Linked DNA regions of Oryzias latipes. The protein of the gene in region 1 purifies or fractionates together with the protein of each later gene. This does not show direct contact. Links are inferred from orthologs where the notes say so. Each region holds a gene or a part of one and is shown on either strand. Other genes may lie near its edges. The genes, in order: retreg1 and map1lc3a.

Evidence for each region.
Region 2: the proteins of retreg1 (region 1) and map1lc3a purify together in Homo sapiens (affinity purification with western blotting; 3 studies listed by BioGRID and IntAct, with this or other methods). This does not show direct contact. The link is inferred for Oryzias latipes from reciprocal best matches to the Homo sapiens genes RETREG1 and MAP1LC3A.

The regions. Positions count from the first base shown.
Region 1 is NC_019875.2:8,684,040-8,694,799, forward strand, and holds the end of retreg1 (reticulophagy regulator 1), read right to left. Parts: intron 6,259-10,760; coding exon 6,141-6,258; intron 5,511-6,140; coding exon 5,426-5,510; intron 5,253-5,425; coding exon 5,130-5,252; intron 4,738-5,129; coding exon 4,667-4,737; intron 3,877-4,666; coding exon 3,753-3,876; intron 3,680-3,752; coding exon 3,177-3,679; 3' UTR 2,851-3,176; downstream 1-2,850. UniProt on the Homo sapiens protein: Endoplasmic reticulum (ER)-anchored autophagy regulator which mediates ER delivery into lysosomes through sequestration into autophagosomes.
Region 2 is NC_019863.2:5,853,047-5,864,366, forward strand, and holds the start of map1lc3a (microtubule-associated proteins 1A/1B light chain 3A), read left to right. Parts: upstream 1-6,071; 5' UTR 6,072-6,205; coding exon 6,206-6,245; intron 6,246-9,479; coding exon 9,480-9,535; intron 9,536-9,720; coding exon 9,721-9,827; intron 9,828-11,320. UniProt on the Homo sapiens protein: Ubiquitin-like modifier involved in formation of autophagosomal vacuoles (autophagosomes). While LC3s are involved in elongation of the phagophore membrane, the GABARAP/GATE-16 subfamily is essential for a later stage in autophagosome maturation.

The DNA.
Region 1 (10,760 bases):
TCAAATTAGCTGCGGATGCGTTATAATTTTATCGTAACAAGATTCAATTCAATTTACCATAAATGATGATGATGAGATTCATTCTAATTAGATATAAACTAGAACAGAAACAACAAAAGGAGGATTTAAAAAACTCCAAATCGGCTAAGAAGACGTTCAGATTCAGACCTGTACATAACAGTGATTGTTCAAAGTAACAAACCTTAATTTTTTCACTAAGGCGGGAAAATGTGTGTCATGATTTCAGGGTCTACTTCAAAGGACATTTTCCAATTTTCCAAAGCAACCACTCTTTACTAAATACTATAAATGTATTCAGCTTTAGATAAACTTTCATTCTGTGCAGCAAGAGCCAGCCATTTTTATTTTCTGCAAATGTTCTTAAATATTTATCTAACACGAATTGACAAACGTTTAACTGAAATGTAAGCTGTACTGAAGCACTCGACCACAAGAGGGCGTCCTTCACAAAGGTACCTTGCTCTAGCATTTTTTACGTCTTCGTGTGACAAAAGTTTTTATCAGTTTCTATGATTAACAATGACAGAAAAATCTCTCTGTTTCACAGATCTGAACTAGGCAGACTCACAATACTGTCACGGATCTTATTAAAAAGTTTGATGCAGACATTAGCCACGTCCTGCTTTTGATTCGAATTTTTTGAACTTTCTGACTTTTTTACTGTCCAAGAAAAAATGAATAATAATATCAGCAAGTACAGTAGATAAAATTCATAAACTCCAAAGCTTTATAAGATGTTTTTGAGTAAATAAAGTTAGATCACAGCATAATTCCCATGTTCTGCTTTTCTGATTGCATCTAATATATGGTGTAGATCCTGAAAATGCATATACCAGTATCATAATTAGATGCTGAATCAATTATCCAAGGTTTAACACAGAACATAGAGTTTTTCTCTGCAAAAAAAAAAAAGTTTTGAACATTTTATCTTAACATTGGAGACACAAAAAGTAAATATTTTTGTTTTTTCCGAAAGAAATTACAACTTTAACATGTTATCAGCATACAGGATTATGCTGACTACGTGACTGGATATATCAGCACTTGTGTGGAGAACATTGTGCCCACCATCCAAGTCAGGAAGTTTCCTAATCAGAAGCCCTGCGGATAAACAGCCATGTACGTCACATGCTGCGTGCTCGCTCCACTGCATTTACATCTGGCAATGAGTCCGAGTACAAAGCTGCGAAGTACGGCCTGAGGAAGGCCATCACAGCAGCAAAGAGGCAGTACAGAGAGAAGCTGGATGGCTTCTATTCTACTGCTGACTCTGGCCGCATGTGGAGGGGCCTACAGCACATCACGGACTACAGAAGCAGCACCAGCAACATCAGTGCTGCAGACAGCCTGCCCGACGAGCTCAATGCATTCTACACCCGCTTTGAGACGCCCACCCCCCACACGGAGGGACCATTATACTCTTGGACAATTACATACAATACATCCCATCATCTGTGACTGGCTCCTGGACTTTTTGACTGGCAGGCCTCAGTCTGTCAGAATAGGGAACAGGACTTCAGCCAGCATCATCTCTAACATTGGCACACCACAGGGCTGTGTTCTCAGCCCAATCCTCTACACCCTGTTCACCCATGACTGTGTGGCCTCTCACAAGGACAACATCATCCTGAAGTTCGCCGACGACACCGCTGTGATAGGACGCATCACTGGCGGGGACGAAGCAGCCTACAGGAGGGAGGTGGCCAGTCTGGTGACATGGTGTGAGGACAACAACCTCACCCTCAACACAGACAAGACAAAGGAGATGATAGTGGACATGAGGAAGGAGAAGAGGAACCCTCATCAGCCGCTTCTTATCCGAGGTCTGGAAGTGGAGAGGGTGAGCAGCTTCAGATATCTGGGGGTCCACCTCAGCCAGGACCTCACCTGGACACTAAACACGTCACAGCTGGTGAAGAAAGCTCATCAGCGGCTGTACTTTCTGAGGAGGCTGAGGAGGTTCGGCATGTCCCCGAAGATCCTCAGCAACTTCTACAGCTGCATGGTTGAGTCCATCCTGACCAGCTGCATCACAGTGTGGTACGGCAGCTCTACCGCCATGGACCGCAAACGCCTGCAGAGAGTGGTAAAGACTGCGTCCAAGATCACCAGGACTCCTCTTCCCTCGCTGCAGAGCATATACAAACGCAGGGTCTGCAGGAGAGCTGCCTCCATCATCAAGGACCCCACCCACCCGCAACGAGGACTGTTCACTCTCCTCCCCTCAGGACGGAGGTACAGGAGTGTGAAGTGCAGGACCACCAGATTTAGGAACTCTTTCTTTCCCTCTGCCATCAGACTCCTTAACAGCTGACTGGAGTCTGGAAAAACAAACTGCACCTTTGCTTATCCTAATTGTTGCTATTGTCACTGTCACTTTTGCACATTTGCACTTTTACAACAGCCACTCGACATCTTGTGTTTTTGTGTGTATGATGTGAGTGAATTGTTTTTGTTTCCTCTATACTTTTGGGCATTCGGAGCAGACAGCAAAGAAATAATTTCATTGTGCAGGGAAACCCGTTTCTTTACTGTGCATATGATAATAAACCCTTTGAATCTTGAATCTTATCTGGCGAAATCTGAACTGAAAACCTTGAAGGCTTTAAGAAATATTATTTGTGACACTGTTGGTCCTAGATTATGAAAAAAACACCTTCAAAGTTTTCCTTTTTAATTGTGATCATTTGTTAATTTGGATTAATTTAAAAAATATAATAATAATAATAAAACTCCACAATAAAGTGTCATTGATGTATTTTTCATAAAATGTGTTTAAAAAAAAAGAAAAAAGTTACATTTTATCTCATAAAGCGAAAAACATTAAGATGCATTTCGATTTTTTTTATTGCAATTTTCAATATTTCCTTTAGCATAAGATCTAATAGATTTCTTTTTGGTTGTTGTGTTTTTCAGACGTGAGTAGAGTCTTATTCTGTGTGGTTTTAAACGCTCTACGTGGATTGGTTGGCCTTGAGTACCTGTGATCAGACGTCTCAGCCTACAAACACACTACATCTGTGAAACCAGTCCTCTGAAGTTTTCTTTTTATAAACCAGATAATATAAAGACAATGGATTTTCTAACAAGTGTGACCATGTTGCCCCCATTACTCCTGCATGTCCTCTGTGACCCCCTTCCCCTGCATTTTCATGTCAATGGCGTCTGAGGAGTTTGGAGAAGAATCCAGAGGATGCTGGCTTTTCAGACTCCATCTGTGTTTCCCCTGTGGACTTTAGTTTCTCCTCTCCCAGCCCCAGCTCCCCTTCCAGTTGCTCTAACTCTGACTGGTCCAACAACTCAAAGTCCTCCACCTCGCTGTCGGACTCCTCCATCAACTCCAGCAGCCGCTCTGACTGTGGGAGTCTGGATGGTTCAGGGTCTCCGGTGAAGGCACAGACGGCAGCTTCTATTCTCTCCTGGATGGCAGCTGTGACTGCAGCTGTCAGAACATCTTCTGCCATCTGGTTGACCAACTCCAGGGTTTTGTCTGCGTGTTGATCCATGCCAGAAAAAAGTGCACGCTTTGACGGCTGTTGAGGTGGAGCACATGGAAGGCTGAGGCTGAGGTCATCGTCGTCTCCATTTGTGGTGGTGCCATTATCGAGTGAGGGGAAATCAGCGAGGCCGCCGGTGAAGGCTTCTTCTTTGTCCAGATCTGCGGTTTGAAAGAGCATCAAGGTGAGGCGCAAACAAAAAGCTTTCAGAAAGGTGGTAAAAACCAAACGCACCCTCTGAGTTCTCCGTCTGCGGCGTGTGTCCCTCTGACAAGGTAAAGGTACCGTTGTCCGTCCACGTCACGTCGGACACCTCCGTGTCTGAGACGCACATTTCCTTACAAACTGTGGAGTCGAGCTGCCGCGAAAATATGAGGAGAAAACAAAAAGAATCTCATTTGTTTGATCAGGATTTCTGTCATTTTGAGTTGAGCATAGAAAATTCTGGTCCACCAAAGTTATCTGTTGTGTTTCAGCTTCATAATCAGGATCTCATACGTGAGTGATATCATTGAGTTATAAACTAGCAGGACGGAGTGTAAACTGACAGCTCTCAGGTAAGGGTGATGGGAAGGATGGTGGGGTTGCTTGCACCAACAGTCCCGCTCAGAACTCAGTGTCAAACTTCTAATAAACTACCGCCGCTCTGCAAAAACTAGAAAAACGACAAAGGTTTTCTGGCTAAAATCGACATAATCATAATTAAAAAAGCACTGGGAATGCTTTTACAATAGATCAAAAGATGGTTGGAGTTCGGCTTTAAAACCCTTCTAACTGTGATACAACACTCTAGATGGCGCTCTCCAGGTTGGTGGGATGTCATTTCAATAGTGAAATTATTTCTGTTTTCTAACATAAGCAAAAAAAACGACCACATTTTGTGACTGTACATGTGTTCATTTTTGTCCCTCCATTGACAGACATTAAGTTTCCATAGTGACACGTCGTGAGATGTGGGTCAGATTTGTTTCTCATCATCCTTCCGAGCGAAAGTAATTCTATTTGGATAACCTATAAATGGAGGAAGGAAACGGTGATGAAGGCTTGGACGTTTTAAGCTGAAGTCTGGGCATTAGGATGAGAGCCATTAGCTGTGACCCTGTGAGTCAACAGAAACAGTATTAGATTAAAGGACATGAATTTCAAACCTTGGGGAACATGAGGGAGAGGTCCGACTCAACGCCGTCTTTCTCAGTCTGAGCCTGAATGAGTCTCTTCACTGGATGGAGGCAAACAAGAAAAAACAAACTAATTCAGTTTTCTGGTGGAACATTCAATAAGTCGTGGAGAAATTGTAGCTCATGAACAACACAAATCCAAACTTGCATTTGGTACTAATTGTAATTTTTTAAAAGTTACTTTCCAGTAGAGGGCAGTCTTTGAGTTTTTTTAATAAAAGTTTAGCAGGATTCACTGTGTGATCCGTATTTGAAATGCTCCAAGAAGCGCCCAAAAACCTCAAAGCTGTCTCTCAGATTCTACAAGCCCCGGTTAGCTTGACACATCAAACACAGATGAGAAAAATATTGTCTTGAAAAAGGCTAGGCAGACATTTGAACTCTAGTATACAAATAGCATGCACAGGAATAAAAAACAAAAACATTGTTTTACTCCGATCTTCCTTGATTTTTTGGAAAATGTCTCCAATGCCGAAGTCCAGCTTCTGCAGAACTGGCTCCAGCCACAAACTGACATCATGAGACGAAACCAGGGGCCACAGGAAGACACCCAGCACTTCACAGACACAACAACACAGAGGAGGGACACGTTAATTCACACAGCAGCTGCTGAAAGTCCCATGCTTTCACACTGCAGAAGGGTATCTGCATCTAATGTGTAACATGTAACTCCAGACACAACAAACTGGTGAACGTGATCGTCTACCTGCAGGATCTCTGCGGACTCACCTAGAATGTACGAGATAACAATCCCTGGAATGTAGCGTCCTAAGACAGCAAAGAAGGTGCACAGACTGCAAACCAGCAAACAGAACTGCAAGGGGAGGAAAAGCAAACAGGAGTGAGACAAGTCTCCTCTGATAGATCAATGCTGGTTATCCCAAAACAGCTGTTCACGGAGCACAAATCCAGCCCAGGTAAAAGTGGATGATGAAGATGCAGAGCAGAAATATAAACTGTCTTTTGCTTTGATCTTCTTAAAAGGTTAAATCCTTTAAAGGAAACAAAATTAATGAGGCCAGGTAGAATGTAGGTAGAAGGTAGAATTAAAAGTGAGGTACTGTTTGTCCATTTTTATGTTTAGATTTTTTTTTAAAAAGTCCGTAATGTATTTAAATGGATCCAATTTAGTGATCTGCAAAATCTGCTTTTCAACGACAAAAAAATCTAATAGAAATAGAAATAGTTTCTAAAAAACACAGAAACCATTAAATAGTATTTTTTCTTTTGGTGTTGGATTTTTCAATTACTATGTTGATCAAATAAATCTTTGTGTTGGAAAACTGAAACGTTCACACTTGATCCATCTGTTGTTAAACGTGAGCGACATAATGCTTCACTTAGGCCTTCTAACTCTCCCTGGTCCTGAATCTGACACAATCAGCTGGAAAATCTCCCAGGAAGCCCTGGACTGGAGCCTCCCGTCTGTACGTTTCCTCCTCACCTTTCCTGGGTTTTGCTGCTTAAAGGCCGACGTTTCCTGGAGGAAGATCTTCAGGGAGTCGCTGAACTGCAGTCCGCTCGCAGTTCGACTGTCCTCGCCCGGGTCGATGATCTCCCAACTGAAGACAAAACAGAGATGCAGAAAATGACCCAAATGACATGACAACAACCTTTTTTGTTGCAAAGATGAATGCTTTAAATCCATACAGCTGTTTCCAGTGGTGCCAAACACATCAGTGAAAGCTACTAAAGGATCAGCTGGGATTTAACTTTTTGCTTGCTCCTTGAACTGTCTTATTGTGGATTCACTTTGTTCTTTCCTGTCAAAAGAAAGTCAAATAAGTATTTCAAAGCAATAACAAGATTTTTTCGGTTTTGTAAAGGACATATCTGAAAAAGAAAATGCATGTGAAACTACAGCAAACTACCCCTGCTGAAGTGCAGACTATTGTCTTCTTTCTGTTTGGGTTTGGTAAAAACTCTTGTGCAGGATCCGTCCTCTATTGCTGATCCAGAATGCTGCGTGGGTCACACCAATGTTTCCATCTCTGCTTCCTGCTGCAGCACATTTTCACCTTGGGACTCTTTCTTACACAGCAGTCCAACAGTTCCTGATCAGCTAAAGGTGCCAACAACCAAAGAGGTCCACAATTGTCCTGTTTGTGTAGCTGTTGTTGAAATGTTTAACACAATCTTAACAGATCTTTCCAGCTACATTCACACCGCCCTCAGCAATGCGCTTTCAAGCAACCACTTCCAATAAAGTCTATGTATTCGTACATAAATGTGCATTTTGGGCGTCCGCATTCAAAACTCGTGTGTAGCTATGCATTGCACTGTAAATATTTTTTTTAAATGCATTCAAATTTGCACGAATAATTCTGCATAACTGCAAGACTGCAAAAGGCAAAGTGTGTTATAGTTGGGGACCACTGTAAACCGCATGAAACCAGGTGGGATTTGGATTTAGGTTCTGCTACCTTCCCTCTTTTTTTAAAAAAAAAGGGAAATTCTAATGACAAATTGAATTAAGATTGTGGGTTGAGACTCTGGTTCCTTTTTCTCTCATCAATTAGATGGGATTTATTTCTTTTCTGTTCTTTAGGTCAGCATATAGATGACCCTTTGCCAAAGACAGAGGCTCTCCTATAAGTTCTGACTTCTGAGGGTTTTCTAATAATAAAACCAAGAGAGAAAAAAGGTAAATTAAGATTTTAACATGGATTTCTACCAGCAATAGTGTTGAGCTCATCTGTATGACAAAAGGCAGAGTAAACACATCCAATAATGCATTTGGGAAGAGAACAACCCTATTGGGTCTCTCAGGACTCATTGGAAACAGTTTTTGAGTTGTTGCATGAATAAAGAAAAAAAAATGTTATTTTTTTTTCATAAATGTGGTGTCACAGACTTTTCTTTCCCATGAAACACCTGTTTATCTCAACTACATGATTCCCACTATGTTTTTTACAAATGTATTGGAATATTACAAAATAACTATAGACTAATGTCACAAACATTTGAGCTTTTGTCACATCACAGCGAAACAACGTGGAAACTCATCAACTTTATTGTTTTAAATAAATGATGGTTAAAAACGTGAATCCTCGGAGATTGCAAACAAAAACAAATATGTCATCAAAAATATTCCTCTTAAAATTAACAATCACTTGTGGAATCATTAAATGGCTAAAATACTAAATGAATAGTTAATCAATGGTGGAAAAACTGTAGAACAAGTGATCTGTGGACAAATCTAAGGAAAAAAATCCAGATTCATTATATTTGTTTATCCCTCTGGCTGGCAGCTCTTAAGGAAAACTCAGGCCTTAACTAGGCGACTGCAAATTAACATTTGTTGGCAGCTGCTGAGAATAGAAACCTGCAGCATGGTTGCTAATCCAGGTCACACGAACAGCTGTTTAACTTCACATGAACATTTTTATTCCAAAAAAAACTGAAACTGCATGAAAAAAAAGCAAAACTTGAGTCCTGAAAATAATATAGATATAAGGCCCAGGGTTTAATTAATTTCAAGTGTTTATTGGTTTCTTTTTACATAAATTGGGGTTCCAGCTCTTGTTGCTGTTAACTCTTCAGTATATCCCATCAGGGGTCGCCACAGCAAATCCGCTTCACTGATTCACACAAGTTTGGCAGGGAGTTTTAAGCTGGATGTCCTTCTTACACGACTTAGTATTTTCTCCGGGCTAGGGACCGGCACAGGGAGATCCAGACTTGGGGCCCCCCTGTGCCTACACAGTTAGGCAGGAGCGTGAAAGGTCTTGCCTAAGGACCCACAGTGGATTAAGCTCATTGCACCATGGGAAGCAAACCCTGGTTTCCTGCGAGCCAGGGCTACATCCAACCAGCCAAGCCACAAAAGTATAATTTTTTTAAAGGAATTATGGAAATGAACACACATTTCACATTTCACAAAATCAGATGACTCAAACACAGCTAAATTCAACATGATGGATGTAAAAAGTAGGAGACGAGAAGGGATGAGAGCACAGAGGATCAACTATAGAACCAAAAATGTGGATTTAAGACACTACAGGTGATAAACATCTGGGATGACTGGTCACTTTAACTTGGAGGGACTTTAACTGGAAACAAAGAGCTGGACTAATTAAAATGAACACAAGATGAACTTAACACAGAACCTTAACTAAGAAATCAACAAAAAAAACTAAATTTTTAAAAACATTTGTGAGGAATCTGCATAAAACCCTGCTAGAATGTGGGTGGTGTATGCACTCCAAACAGAAGGTGGCAGTATGCTCTAAAAACCTTTTTTTATTTTTTTACTGGTTTACCATCTATGAATGGGTGACAAATGTCTTACAGGTCACTAAAAATTGACTTGAGTTGAAGTCTAATCTATATTTTTCACTATGGTTTGTCTTATTTAGCTCAATCTTTGCCATTTCCAATGTCTTTTTAATGCCGAATCATTTTGAGCAACTGTCATGTGACGGGGGGAGTCACTAGCTGACTTCATAGCTTTGAAGAATCGTGGTATGAATCCATTAAACCGTGTTTCTGTTTCAATTCTGCAAACAAACCCACTTGATTTCTACTAACAGCAGTCAAGCACAGGGCGGAAAATCAGTCAAGCATGGTGGGGGTACAACGTTCTCAGGTACAATACTTGGTGTGAATGCGCTACACGTTATGTTTAAAGGGCTTATATCATGCTTCTCTTAAGCTTTTTATACTAAACAGCATCCATGTATATGATGATATATTACCTTTGGAACACAAAATAAGACTTTTTTAAAATTAAATATTAGTTATTTTCATGAATTTCTTTCCTACCCGTAATTAAGACGACTGAATCTCTGAGGCTCCGCCTTTCCCTCCACGTGGGTGCCACCCATTTCATGACGTCAACCTAGAGCCGGCCTTAGCAGCGTGTCTGCGTCTCGCCCATGAAAACAAACAACATCCAAACTTTTTGAGAGGTGGATGTGCATATTGTGCAAAATGTAAGCGGTTCAGCCAAATACCACTAGCTCCATTGAGAAAGTGGGTGTGTCTGTTAACCTGGGGGCGGTGCTAGCAGCTAAGACTCTTCCTGGAAGGGGCTGTTCTCACTGGTCTACATCACAATGTGAGAATCCGCTCGTTTTTGTGGATTGGAAGGGGCTGGTATCAGAGCACAGGTTTTTAGAGGAATACTCAGAAATGTGTGAACGAATCAAAATACCACTTTGGGGTTTCTTTTCGTGAGGAATGAACATTATGAAACACTTAAAAGCACAAGAAATTGATTTTGCGTGATATAGTCCCTTTAAATTATCAAGTTGCAGTTTATCGTTTGGCTTTGGACTTTTTCAAATTGTTTTTCACTTTATTCTTATGGTAAATCTGGTCAAAGACTGAAGAAATTACTGACAGTAGCTTGTTTTTTAGCTTTCTAATATAAAAACTTTTCCCGAAAGGAAAATAAGGGGACCATGAAACACAGGTTACATTGTGCTGACTTTGCAACATGGTTAGGAAAAAAAAGACGGTGCTACTCCTTCAAACGGATGAGAGATCCTCAATCTGACAAGATTCCCAAAGAAAATGTTTGTATGTTTGTGCTTTGATCTTTGGGATTCATTCCTGACTGCTGAAGATGGTAGACAGATAGGACCAAATGAAACGGATGCAACAGTTGTGGGACTCAATTCTCTAGCCAACTTTCATAAGGAAAGACTGAATAAATCAAAAGGTTTTATTGTTAAAACCCACAAATGTTGCATATCTTAAGAAGAGGTTCTCTTAGTTTACATGAGTCACATGCTGTGTGTGCTCCATGAATACTTTGGATACTGAGAAGTGACTAGATCCTGTTTCATTACGCCACAGTGTCAAACAACACCATCGGTAACAACTTCCGCTAACTCTTCCCACTGGAAAAACTCGTCAGTCTAAGTGGGGAGGGCGTCAAAGGGCCAGCAGGAGCAGCTGTCGGGCAGACTTCACTTTTTACCCAATCAGTAATCTCAGAGACAACACTGGGGGCGGCATGTCTGAACCTCTAACAAGCCCGCTCATGTAAACATGGAGCAGACAGACAATGCCAGGAATGGCGCCAAAAACATCCTGCTTGCTTTAGATGGCGAGGCCG
Region 2 (11,320 bases), on another chromosome or scaffold:
CTAGAGGATGTGATCAACTGAAAGAGCCTGATCCCTCTTCTACAGAATGTAACTGGTTTTACTCTGTACTGACACCAACTGCAGAGGAGGCGGGATCCCGGATGGGACTTTGTCCTGCCGTTGTATGTCCTACGTCAAACCTACAAGCTTTTTCCATCGGCTCCTGATTCACAGCTATTTGAATATAAAAAAAAAATACTCAGTTTTAATCTTAGATTTCTTTGTATACATCCTTAATCATGAGAAAAATATTACAAGAACACGCTGAAAATGCCAAAATCCTTATTTTATGATTTATTTGATTTCAGCTTGAGTTGTTGTATCTGTTGCTGCAGTAGCCTGTCCATGTTAGGGCTGTTTCAGGCTCAGCTGCCTCCCCATCCAGACAGCGCTCTATGGTGCACACAATGCTTTGTTTTACGTCCTAGAGGTCCAGGCAGGTTAAAGGGTTGGGAGTGGGGGGGCTTTTTGAGGGAGTTGTATCTTATGATTGACCAAAAAAAAAGCTGTACAGGTGAGAAAGTTTCTTCATTTTAACCAAACTGAGTTTAAACTGTCAAAGTTCAGTTTGTAAAGTTTAAAACGAAGAAGCGTGTGTGTGATTTTCAGTTTCCACGCAGGTCCCTCGCATTCTTGTTTCATGAAGAAAACTTTTTCTGTGGGTGGCAGCAGAGATGAACAGCAGCAGCAGAAGCAGCAGGACTTTTTCAGAGGAAACACAATGACACAAAGCTCAACGGTAGGGAAACGGCACACACAAACAGGCAGGGCAGGAAGCAACAGACCCACAGAGAGACTGACTGTACAGCAGTGAGGGTGCTGACCTCCACAACCGGAAAGACTGGGACAATAGTGGGAGCAGTTCCACACTGTACTCTGAGACTTTAAACCAGATGTCACCCTGGGAATCTGATGGTCGCAGTCGTGACACACATCCTGACAGAGCAGCACTGACCAACACCTCCACCTCCAACACTTCCACATACTTCAGCAGAGAAAATTCCAACATGGCAACAAAAAGCATTTTTATTACTAGGAGAGCCTCAAAACTCCAACTGACAGCAAAAACTAAAAGTTTCAATGATTAAACTGAAAGTCCCTCAAATACTTTTCCATTCTATGTTCCCAAACTTTCCAGAAGAAATGCGATTATTTAAAGTACAGCAGGAAAAACTGAAGCCTTCAAGAAGATCTCAGTCAGCGCTTCAGGCAGAAGGACCTGAACTCCTGCGAGATGCCCACAAAAACACCCCCAAGCCAAAACCTCTGGACCTCCTGCACAGCGCAGGAGCGCATCTCTGATCCGCGCCACTCACCAGGTGCAGGTTCTGGACTCTCGGCTCGGTTCGTTCGGAGCTGAACAACAGCAAGTGATGCACAGGCTTCTGACATGCAGGTCCAAACCCGCCTGAAGGTTCGAGCAGCGCAATCCCAGTGGGCGCGTGCGCACAGACGGTCTATTCCTGTCGTCTTGCTGCTGAATGCTGCCTTCACGAACCCTCGGAAGTTCCCCTAATTCCCAAGTTTAAACGTTTTTTTCCTCCTTTCTTTGAACTTTAAAATTATTACACTACATGATTACATTCAGCAACCATATGGGCAGAAGAGAAGGAAATAAAAAGGAAAACAAATTAAATTTGGTTTATTGCTTTTCACTGAGATTTAGTGAATATGCTGGAAAAATGATTTTTTATAAACAGTCCAGTTTAGTGAGTTTAGTTGGTCAGTGTATCTGGACACCTCTTGTGGTGGACCCCAGAGGTCTGTTTTAGGCATTGAACTGTTAATTTGTATTAATGTTAAATTTAACGGACTACTGATAAAATAAGCATTGTCTCCAATGTTGGGGAAACAGTTTACAACTGTTGAAGGGAAACATTCTTTTAATGCAGTGAGGGGAAAACGATGTTTCCAGACTTTTGCTTGCAGAATGAAACCGATAGTATGTAGACAGAAAAAAAAGCTAATCAAACACTGTGCTGTTGTCTAACATGATTTTTTGACAATGGAAATCTGGAGCCATGATTAACATATGGATGTTTTTAATACTGTGTTATTACTTGATGCTTCATTGTGTACATATTTACTTTTACTATAGATCACATGTGTCAAACTCAAGCATAAAAGTTTTTATTTTCTTAAAATAAAATAAAAATTGTTGTGTATTTAGTCATATCTAGGGGAAATCTGACTTAAAATATCGGAATGGGCAACTATACATTAGGACTTAAACACTGTCCATATAAACTAACCTGACAGAATCAAATGTAAAAAGATTTATGGTAGAGTAACAAGCAAACATACGTTTTTATGCAACTGTAATTGTCACTTTAAAAAGTTATAATAAATAAATAATGAGTTATTTAACATTAAGGAGTAGTTACATTTATTTTTCATTACATTTAGTTACATGAATAAGTCACATCTGGCCCTTTGAGGACAACCACTATGCTGATGTGGCCCTCAGTGAAAATGAGTTTGACACGCCTGCTATAGATCTATTTAAATCATGACTTCTGACTCGTTCAACTGCCTTTTTTGAAACTATCTTCACATCATTTCTTCTGTAACGTTTTAATTTCCCACTTTACACTGGGTCAGTAAACGTAACAAAAAATGCCCTCACTTTTAAAACCAGAGCTCCCCCTTGAGTTTTTAGTTTGCCCATGCATCTTTAGACCCAAGATCGCGAGCAGGGAACAGGTGGAGGAGAAGCTAGAGAGGTGGAGGTTTGCCCTGGAAAGGAGAGGAATGAAGGTTATCTGCAGGAAGATGGAGCACATGTGTGTGAATGAGAGGAACCCAAGTGGAAGAGTGAAGTTACAGGGAAAAGAGATAAAGAAGGTGGAGGATTTGAAGTATCTAGAGTCAACAGTCCAGAGGAATGGAGATGTGGAAAAGAAGTGGAGAAGCGAGTGTAGGTGGGTTGGAATGGGTGGAGAAACGTCTCAGGTGTGATGTGAAGAGTTTCAACTAAAATGAAAGTAAAGGTGTAGAAAACTGGTGAGAGTAGTCATGTTGTGGGCTTAGAGACACTGGCAATGAGGAAAATACATGAAGCAGAGCTGGAGGCAGCAGATATGAAGATGCTGAGGTTCTCTTTGGAAGTGACCTGGATAGGATCAGGAATGAGTGCATCAGAGCGACAGCACATGTTAGAGGCTTTGGAGATAAAGTCAGAGAGGCCAGACTGAGATGGCTGGGACATGTCCAGAGGAGAGACAGAATGCCTTTCTTTCGCCAAATGGAAGAGCGTTCAGTGTGTCACCAGTTATTAAGATGACATTTTTAAATAAATTTCAAGTTTTAATAGCTTTTAAATTTGTAGAATTTTTGAGAAGTCACTGTAGTTTTTTTGTTTTCACAAATGAAAAGAAGTAAAGATGGTTTCATGGAGGTATATTTACATTTATGGAATTTGGCTAGAAGAAAAATTAAATTGAGTAAATAGGCCTTCTTGTTTTCAATTAAAAAAACACAACAACCTAAGATAATATGCCTATAACAAAGAAAAACAAAACAAAATAACATAATGAAGAATATATTTTTCCAGCAAGTTTAGTACACCAGTCCAAAATGTTGTGGTACATGAACAGATCTTAAATTATGATATTTTATCATATTCTTCAATCTTTTTATGTTTTATGATGTTTTATCACATAATTTTATCATTTTATTTGCTTAATCTAGAATTTTTATTCTTGTATTTTATGACATTTTATCATATACATATCTGTTTAATCTAGAATTTTACTTGTATACTTTTTTTATGATATTTTAACACATTTATTTTATTAGACTGTTTACGAGTGTTTTCTCACCCTTGGCTGGGGTGTTTGTGTTTTATACTGACACCCCTGCCAATAGGAGGACAGGGCAGACGGCGCCTTCTGGTTTCTCTGGTTTATCTTTATTTATTTATTTATTTATTTATTTATTTATTTTCCACTGATATTTGTCTTTGTGTATTTTATTGTGTGGGGCTAATTTAACGTATCTTATTATATTTTATTGCATTTGATTTTGTTTTTATGTACAGCACCTTGAGCTGTCTTTGAAAGATGCTATATAAATAAAATTAATTTGAATTTGAATTTAAATGAATGTGTAACGGTTTCCAGAAGACTATTTCAAATTGATATCCTTTTGAAATCTGTGGGAGATAAAAAAACATTTAGTGGATAATATTTATATAACCATTCATTCATTGATTCATATTCGAATCTTCTAATTTTATCCTTTCAGGTTCACCGGGCTGCTGGAGCCTATCCGGGCCAATTGCGGGCAAAGGAGGGGACATCCTGGACAGGTTGTCAGTCTGTCACAGGGCCACAATCACACACACATGCACACACACATTCACACCTATGGACAATTTAGAGTTCCCAATGAACCTATGAAGCATGTTTTTTCTGTAGCAAGATTAAAAAAAAATTCAAAACCAGAAATGCTTTTTCATTTTAAAAATGAAGCTGTATTTGTTGACTCAAATTAAAATGAAAACACAATCTGCCAAACCGCTTTTTCTTTTTCAACACAACTCATTCTGTCACTTAATTAAAATGATAATGAAACGGTTTTTGACATTTCCTTTACAAAATGTTCTCTGGTAAATGTGATGCAAAATTCATTTAGAAATGTCTAATTTGACAATTAAAATGGACTAACAGAAATGCTTTTTCATTTTCACAATGTAACTGCATCAAATAACTCAAAATTAAAATGAAACATCAATCTTTCAAAATGCTTTTTCATTTCTACTTTAACATCTGTGACATAATTAAAGCAAAAATGCAAGGAGAGGATTGCATTTTCGTTTTCACATCCACCGTGCGAAAAGTGTCGCAATATTAAATTGAATCCGTTAGTTCAAAAGGGGCCCAAGTCCAAGAGGTTTGTTTTTCCAGGAAATGATTTTAATTGCATAGCTTATAGGGAGGCTACACCAAATGATGAATACTTTACCCAGATTTAGCACAAGTTCATAGCTTACAAATGCTATAATATGAAGCACCTCACTTTTATCATTTTAGAGGACTAGCAAACTAAAGTCTCTGGACTTGGACCCTTCTTGAATTAAACAGGGGTGCTGCCATATTGGATAACTAGTGCTGCCATCTATGGGATAAAGCTAAACCCATCCAAGAGAGGCCCAAGTCCAGGAAAATGCACTTAATGCATTTTAAATGTCAAGCATAGTCAATACATAACAACGGACTTGGGACTTTTTTTTGCACATAATCAGATAGCTTTTCCCTTGAAGACCATAGAAAAAATAAAATCTCTATTTTGAAAAATTGTGGACTTGGGCCCCTCTTGAACTGACCAATTCAATTCTAGTTAGCATTTGCAGGAGGGAGGCGGGGCAAAAAAGAAAAGAAAGAACATTTTGGAGGATTGCTTATTTTAATTTTGAGTCAACAAATGCAGCTGCATTTTCAAAATGAAAAAGCTTTTCTGGTATTGACTTTTATTTTTAATTATGCTACAGAAACACTTCCATAGTGGTACACATGCAAACTCCACGCAGAGACGTCCCCATTGATGTTCTGTTTCAGGACTTGAACCAGGGGCCTTCTTGCTGTCAGGCAAGAGTGCTGACCACTGTGCCACCATGTGCAGTGGATAGTGCTATAAACATTTAAAAGAAATGCATCTTATCTAAGTAGTTTAAAAATATTTATAATGTAATATCCACATTTTTTCCAGGGTGAGCTAGAGATTCTACTGTTCCAAAACAGAAATGATCTGTGGAGAAGAGACAGCAATCCAGCATTTGATGTCTGAGCCTGGAATCTTCATTTGGAGTCTTGTGATGGTCAGAGGGCCCCAGAGGGGCCCCAGAGGGCCCCCAGAGGGACCGCAGAGGGACCGCAGAGGGACCTGCCCCTATAGCGTTTTTGCTCCATGCAGATCGGGTTTTCTGTTTGGTTCGGGTGAGAACGGCAGCTTCTCAGTCCAGTTAGGAAGCCCAAAGTCTGGCTGATGGAATGAAGGAGTGAAGTGGTTCCAACACCTGGACCAGTTTGGTTCCGAGCAAATGGGGGACGTCCCCTTTAAACGTAGCTGCTGACGTCACCGTCTGTGTTCAGAGGCTTTGTTTGCCCGGACGGAGCCGCCGCTGAGAAGACCTGTAGAGAAGAGCGCCGAACCGATTTGCAGCGTCTGACTTAACCGGGCTGGACCTGACACCACGGCGACAAAGATGCCGTCCGACAGGCCTTTCAAGCAGCGGAGGACTTTCGGTAAGAAGAACCGGCCGCTGTGGGCCCCGCCAGCCCGTCCGCCACCGGACTTTCTCAGGGCAGGCCAGGGCCGCCGTGTCCGCGGATGGCCGGCCCGGTTCCGTCGCTGTCGGCAGGACCGGCGCGAGACCTCTGCAGGTTTTCGTGGGTCAGCTGGGTTCTTGTCACTCTGGGCCTGTTCCCGTTCTGCCAGACCTCCGATAGCAGATTAAAAACTGCGAGCCGGACCTCGGTTCCGTCAGTGCTTGACCCGTTTACCGTGGATGCTGCCATGTGACACCGGAAGCTCCTTCTGTTCTTCCAGAGGTCTCGCAGGTCGTGGAGGTTCAGGCGGTGCTTCTCTGTTGGGGGTCAGGGGAACGGTACTGTGGTGGGGGGGCAGCAGAAGGTCACTGACCACCTCAGGACTACTGTACTCTAACAAGGAAACGATCTAAAAGTAATAGATTACTTTAGCTGAGGCCCAACGGGGGCAGCCATTTCAACCAAGAAGCTGCTTATCACGTGTTCCTGCTGTAGAGGATTATTAAAAGATCAATTCTCAAGATGTTTAAATAGAAAACATTCAAAATGAGATAAATTGATATCGTTACCATTTGGATTGAAGTACAGTAGATTTATTTGACTATAAGGTTTAAAGTGACCAAGTGCATCACAGCAGACAACACAACATACATGTGATGTCATCAGCAAAAACTGATGAGTCCATCATTACAGTCCTATGTGTAGAAAATACTTTGAATATAAACATATATAGACAAAGTCATGTCACCATACAGTGTGGTAGAATGTTTTTAAAATGTTCCCTTTGGATCATTTTGATGTGGAAAAACAACAGTGGACTGAACTTTAGGAAACTAAAATGTGAATAGATTGGACATCCATTCTTGTTTACTTGTTTGTTTGTACACATATTTAATTTACACTTGATTATCTTGAAGAAACACAAGGAATCTGGAAAACTTCCCCTACACTGTTCAGAACCTGCAGGTATTTCTCTCTGAGTCACACTGGTGGACGTTTTGGCTAAAGGTGTCCTGGATCCACTTTAAGTCAGTGGATCAGATCCAATTGGATCGCCTAACATGAACCAAAATCCAAATTTAGTCAAATTGGCAACCACAGTCAGCTGTAGCTACTGAGCAATAACAACATTAGAGGACACCTCCATCTCAATGAAAGAGCAGAACCCCCTGCAGAACCAGATCCATGTTACTTGTTAAGGTTGAAACATTTGTTTTCTAGGAATCATTTTTGTGCTCGTGTCATTGTAATGGAAGAAGCTGCTCTCATCATTCCAGCACTCTGTCGTTCTTTAACAACACACACAGACAGCACTCAGCCTCTGGCCTCCATCTTTAATGTGAACAAGTGAAACTGCAGCAGCAGGAAAGGAACCCTTAAGTGAGGTTTGATTTCTGCCGGGGTTCAAAAACAAGAAATGCAGCATTCTAAATGACACCAGGAAACACTAGCTAATTAATCCACATGTACTCAATGTCTATGATAAATGAAAAACTCCAGGAATACAAAAGACAAGGACAGAGGGAACAAGGTGTCAAATTCATTTTGGTTTGGGGGCCGTCTGATCTCATGTGGGCCAGACCAGTAACATAAAGGCAAAATAACAGCTTTGTGGTTTTTTTTCTTAGTTGGAAAAAATGCCTTAACCATAGGAGGCAAATCCCTTATTATTACAGATTCATTGACAGAGGCCAAGGGATCTAAAACAAAATGCATTTCACTTAAAAAAAACATGGTCGATTCAATTTTATACAGACTGAAGCAATCCTGATAATAAACTCAAGAGGGGCTACGGAAAAAAAAGAAACACCTTGCCTAAGATTTAAATGTGTAAATAAAGGAAAAATTAGACTAAATCATACTTGCAAACATATGTGAGCAATTTGGAGTTAACCTCCCTTTCTCTCCTGAAACCATCCATCAATATCAGGATTTAAATCCTGTGCAGCAACACATTTACTGTCATTCAAGTGTGCAAAACACAATGAAATTTCCAAGAGTCTTTTCCTGGTTTGCTGCCAGAATTTTGTGGCAACACCTGCCTTCTTCCTGAGCTTTGATGGGGCGCCATCAGTGACCAGACTGACATCATGTGACCAGTTCACTCCAACATTGTCCAGCACAGTAACTAGAGAGCTGACTATGTCATCAGCTGTTGTTTTGTCCATCAACTCAAGAAACTCTGCTGTGATGGTCTGCTCAACACCTCTAATAAATATGCACAACTTTATTCATCTGTGATGTCGGTGCTTTCATCAACAGTGACTGAAAATACAATAAATGACTAGATTCCTTCATTTGGCCGTCCAAGTCTCCTCGGAGATGTTGTGTAATCGTAATCCTTGACAGACTCATGTTGGCAAAGGTAGACTGCTTTTTGGGGTACAACACTTCTGCATCCTTCATATTTTCCATAAGTTCACAATCCAAAAATGGATTGGATGTTTGCTCCAACTTGTCTGCAATAAGGTGTCTATCACTGCTCTATCACTGACGTCACGGCTGCAGTTAATGCAGACGGTTGTTTTTTCAGTCTAGCTAATAGTTGGTAAATCTTCTCTTTTCTTAACTGCAAATAGTGAAACTTTTTTTATGTTGAGTCTCATAATGGTGCTGAATGTTATATTCGTTGAGCACTGCAACCTTTTGATGGCATACCAAGCATGCAGGTTTTCAGGTTTCAGCTCCATGAACAAATAAAACTCTTTCCATTTTTCCTGGAAAGCTCAGCCCTCCACTTCAACCTTTTTTACTTTTGTTGCTTTGTGATTCTACCCCCTCCCATACGTCTTTATCATCCTCCAACTACTTGAACCCCATTTTCCCCCCTTTCTTTTGTACCCATGTCCCCCATCTCTAACATCCCTCTTCCTCTTTCTCTCCTTTTTTTCCATCCAGTCCAGCAGGAGATGTATGCAAAAATATTTAATGTAAAGTTTAGCTTCATATACAAAATAAGTTTATACAAATATACACCTTGTGTGTTAGAAGATTCCTAACCTCCTATTGTTACAGTAACATCTGTCCAATACAAGAAGCCTTCAGCTCTGATTTGTTTTCTCGCCTTCTGCACAGGACAAGAACAAATTTCATGTGGTTTTAGAAGATGCCCAGTTGCTCCATTACAGCCTTCACATTAGCACTGCAGAACACTCAGGCAGTTAACATACAGAACCTTTCAATGTTTTTCTGGGTCTGGTTTCCCCACAGCTGACCGGTGCAAAGAGGTGCAGCAGATCCGGGAGCAGCACCCAAACAAGATCCCTGTAAGCTGCCTTTAACTTGATCATCACTGCATGCATTGAAGACCAGCTTTTACCATGTGGACATTTCTCTGAGCATGCTAATGCATTAGGAAAGCATGTGGCAGAACTCCTATGTTTCCATGTTTGGTGGGGGAGGGGGGTACCCAACATATAGAAAAGACAGACAAACTTATCTTTGTCTGCAGGTGATCATTGAACGGTATAAGGGGGAGAAACAGCTGCCCATTCTGGACAAGACCAAGTTCCTGGTACCTGACCATGTCAACATGAGTGAGCTGGTAAAAATAATCAGGTTGGTCCCTCGTTTGCTTTCATTAAACTTCAACTTTGGATGACAGAGAGGCTTGTTTAGTCTGCCACTGCAGAAACGTAGCATAAAAAAGGGAACAGAGCAGGAGAGCTGGACCAGAGAAGCGAACAAATGTACAAAAACTGAAAAAGCATGAGACAAAGCACAGGGCCCTGCGGTACACCATCCCTGGCTTGTGTATATTTACAGTATCAAACTGAAAGTTATCGTTTTAATATGGATTCTTTCTAGCTTGGTTTCAGTCATGAAGTAAACCCAACAGTGCTGTGCTACACATCAGTCCATGATTGGGTGTCATTCTAACCTGCAACGGCGAGTAATACACTAAGAGGTTCATTGAGATTTACTCACTAATAGGGCTGCGTGATATGAGGAAAACTTGCGATATGAGAGATTAATATTGCGATAATGATATAATTTGCGGTACATAATCAAATGGCAAAATAACCAAAAACATCATTCCCATTTCATTCCAACAGTTTTAAAATTATATGACCCTCGTCAACATAGGTGACAAACAGCTAACAGAATAGGCCTCCACCTGATTGGTCAACAATATGAAGGCGTACATCCGATTGGTCAAATGCATAAAGGGATTTAATTGATTCTTTAAATGCCTCAAGCTGCCATAAGATTGTTTTAACACATTTAAGGTTTACAATTTATTGTGATTTTTGCAGATTTTTGCCAATTAATGATATGGATATCGCAGAGCTGGGTATTGCGATAACGATAAATTTGCGATGTATCGTGCAGACCTACTCACTTAAAGTACAAAAACCAGAACATGATTTGATAAATGAAACCAAGCTAGTAGAGGTGCAACGCAAGGCACGTTTACCGCTGCCTGTTAAAGGCAGATTTACCTTTTTTAGCGGGTGCAGGTTCCTCTTCTGTCTCTTCATTGGACCGTTTCCCCTTGTCAAAGCAACTTTCTAAAGAAGTTTGTTTTTTGCTCATTTTGGTTGTTTGGGTTTAATTTTAGCGGGGTGTATCATGTGATGTTTGGTGTCGCGACTTTGACGTGCGTGAAATGTGACGGATGTAACAGAGAAAATCCAGTCAATTTTCAAAATAAAACGTTTTTGCGAAAAAAAACAATAAAATGGAAATTATTTTTTCTTTCTGTGCGTCCCGGTGCCAAAATTTCCCGCGGCCCGGTACCGGTCCACGGCCCGGTGGTTGGGGACCACTGATTTACAGCATTGATTATCTTATTTGTTTTCAGATTTGTGAATTTATGGCTGAGGATCTCCTGAAACTGTAAAATAACCTGTAAAGTTTATCTGCTGACATTACGCTAAATCAACAGGCATGTGTGTTGTGTTCATTTTATGTTAAATCTTTCAGTTTCTTATTTTTAAAAACTGCTTTTGTAAGAAAAGAATTTTCATAAAAAAAGCTACTTTCTCTTCATATTTCAACATCAATTGATAAAAATAAGACATGGAGTTGGAGTTCAGACGTTTTATTCT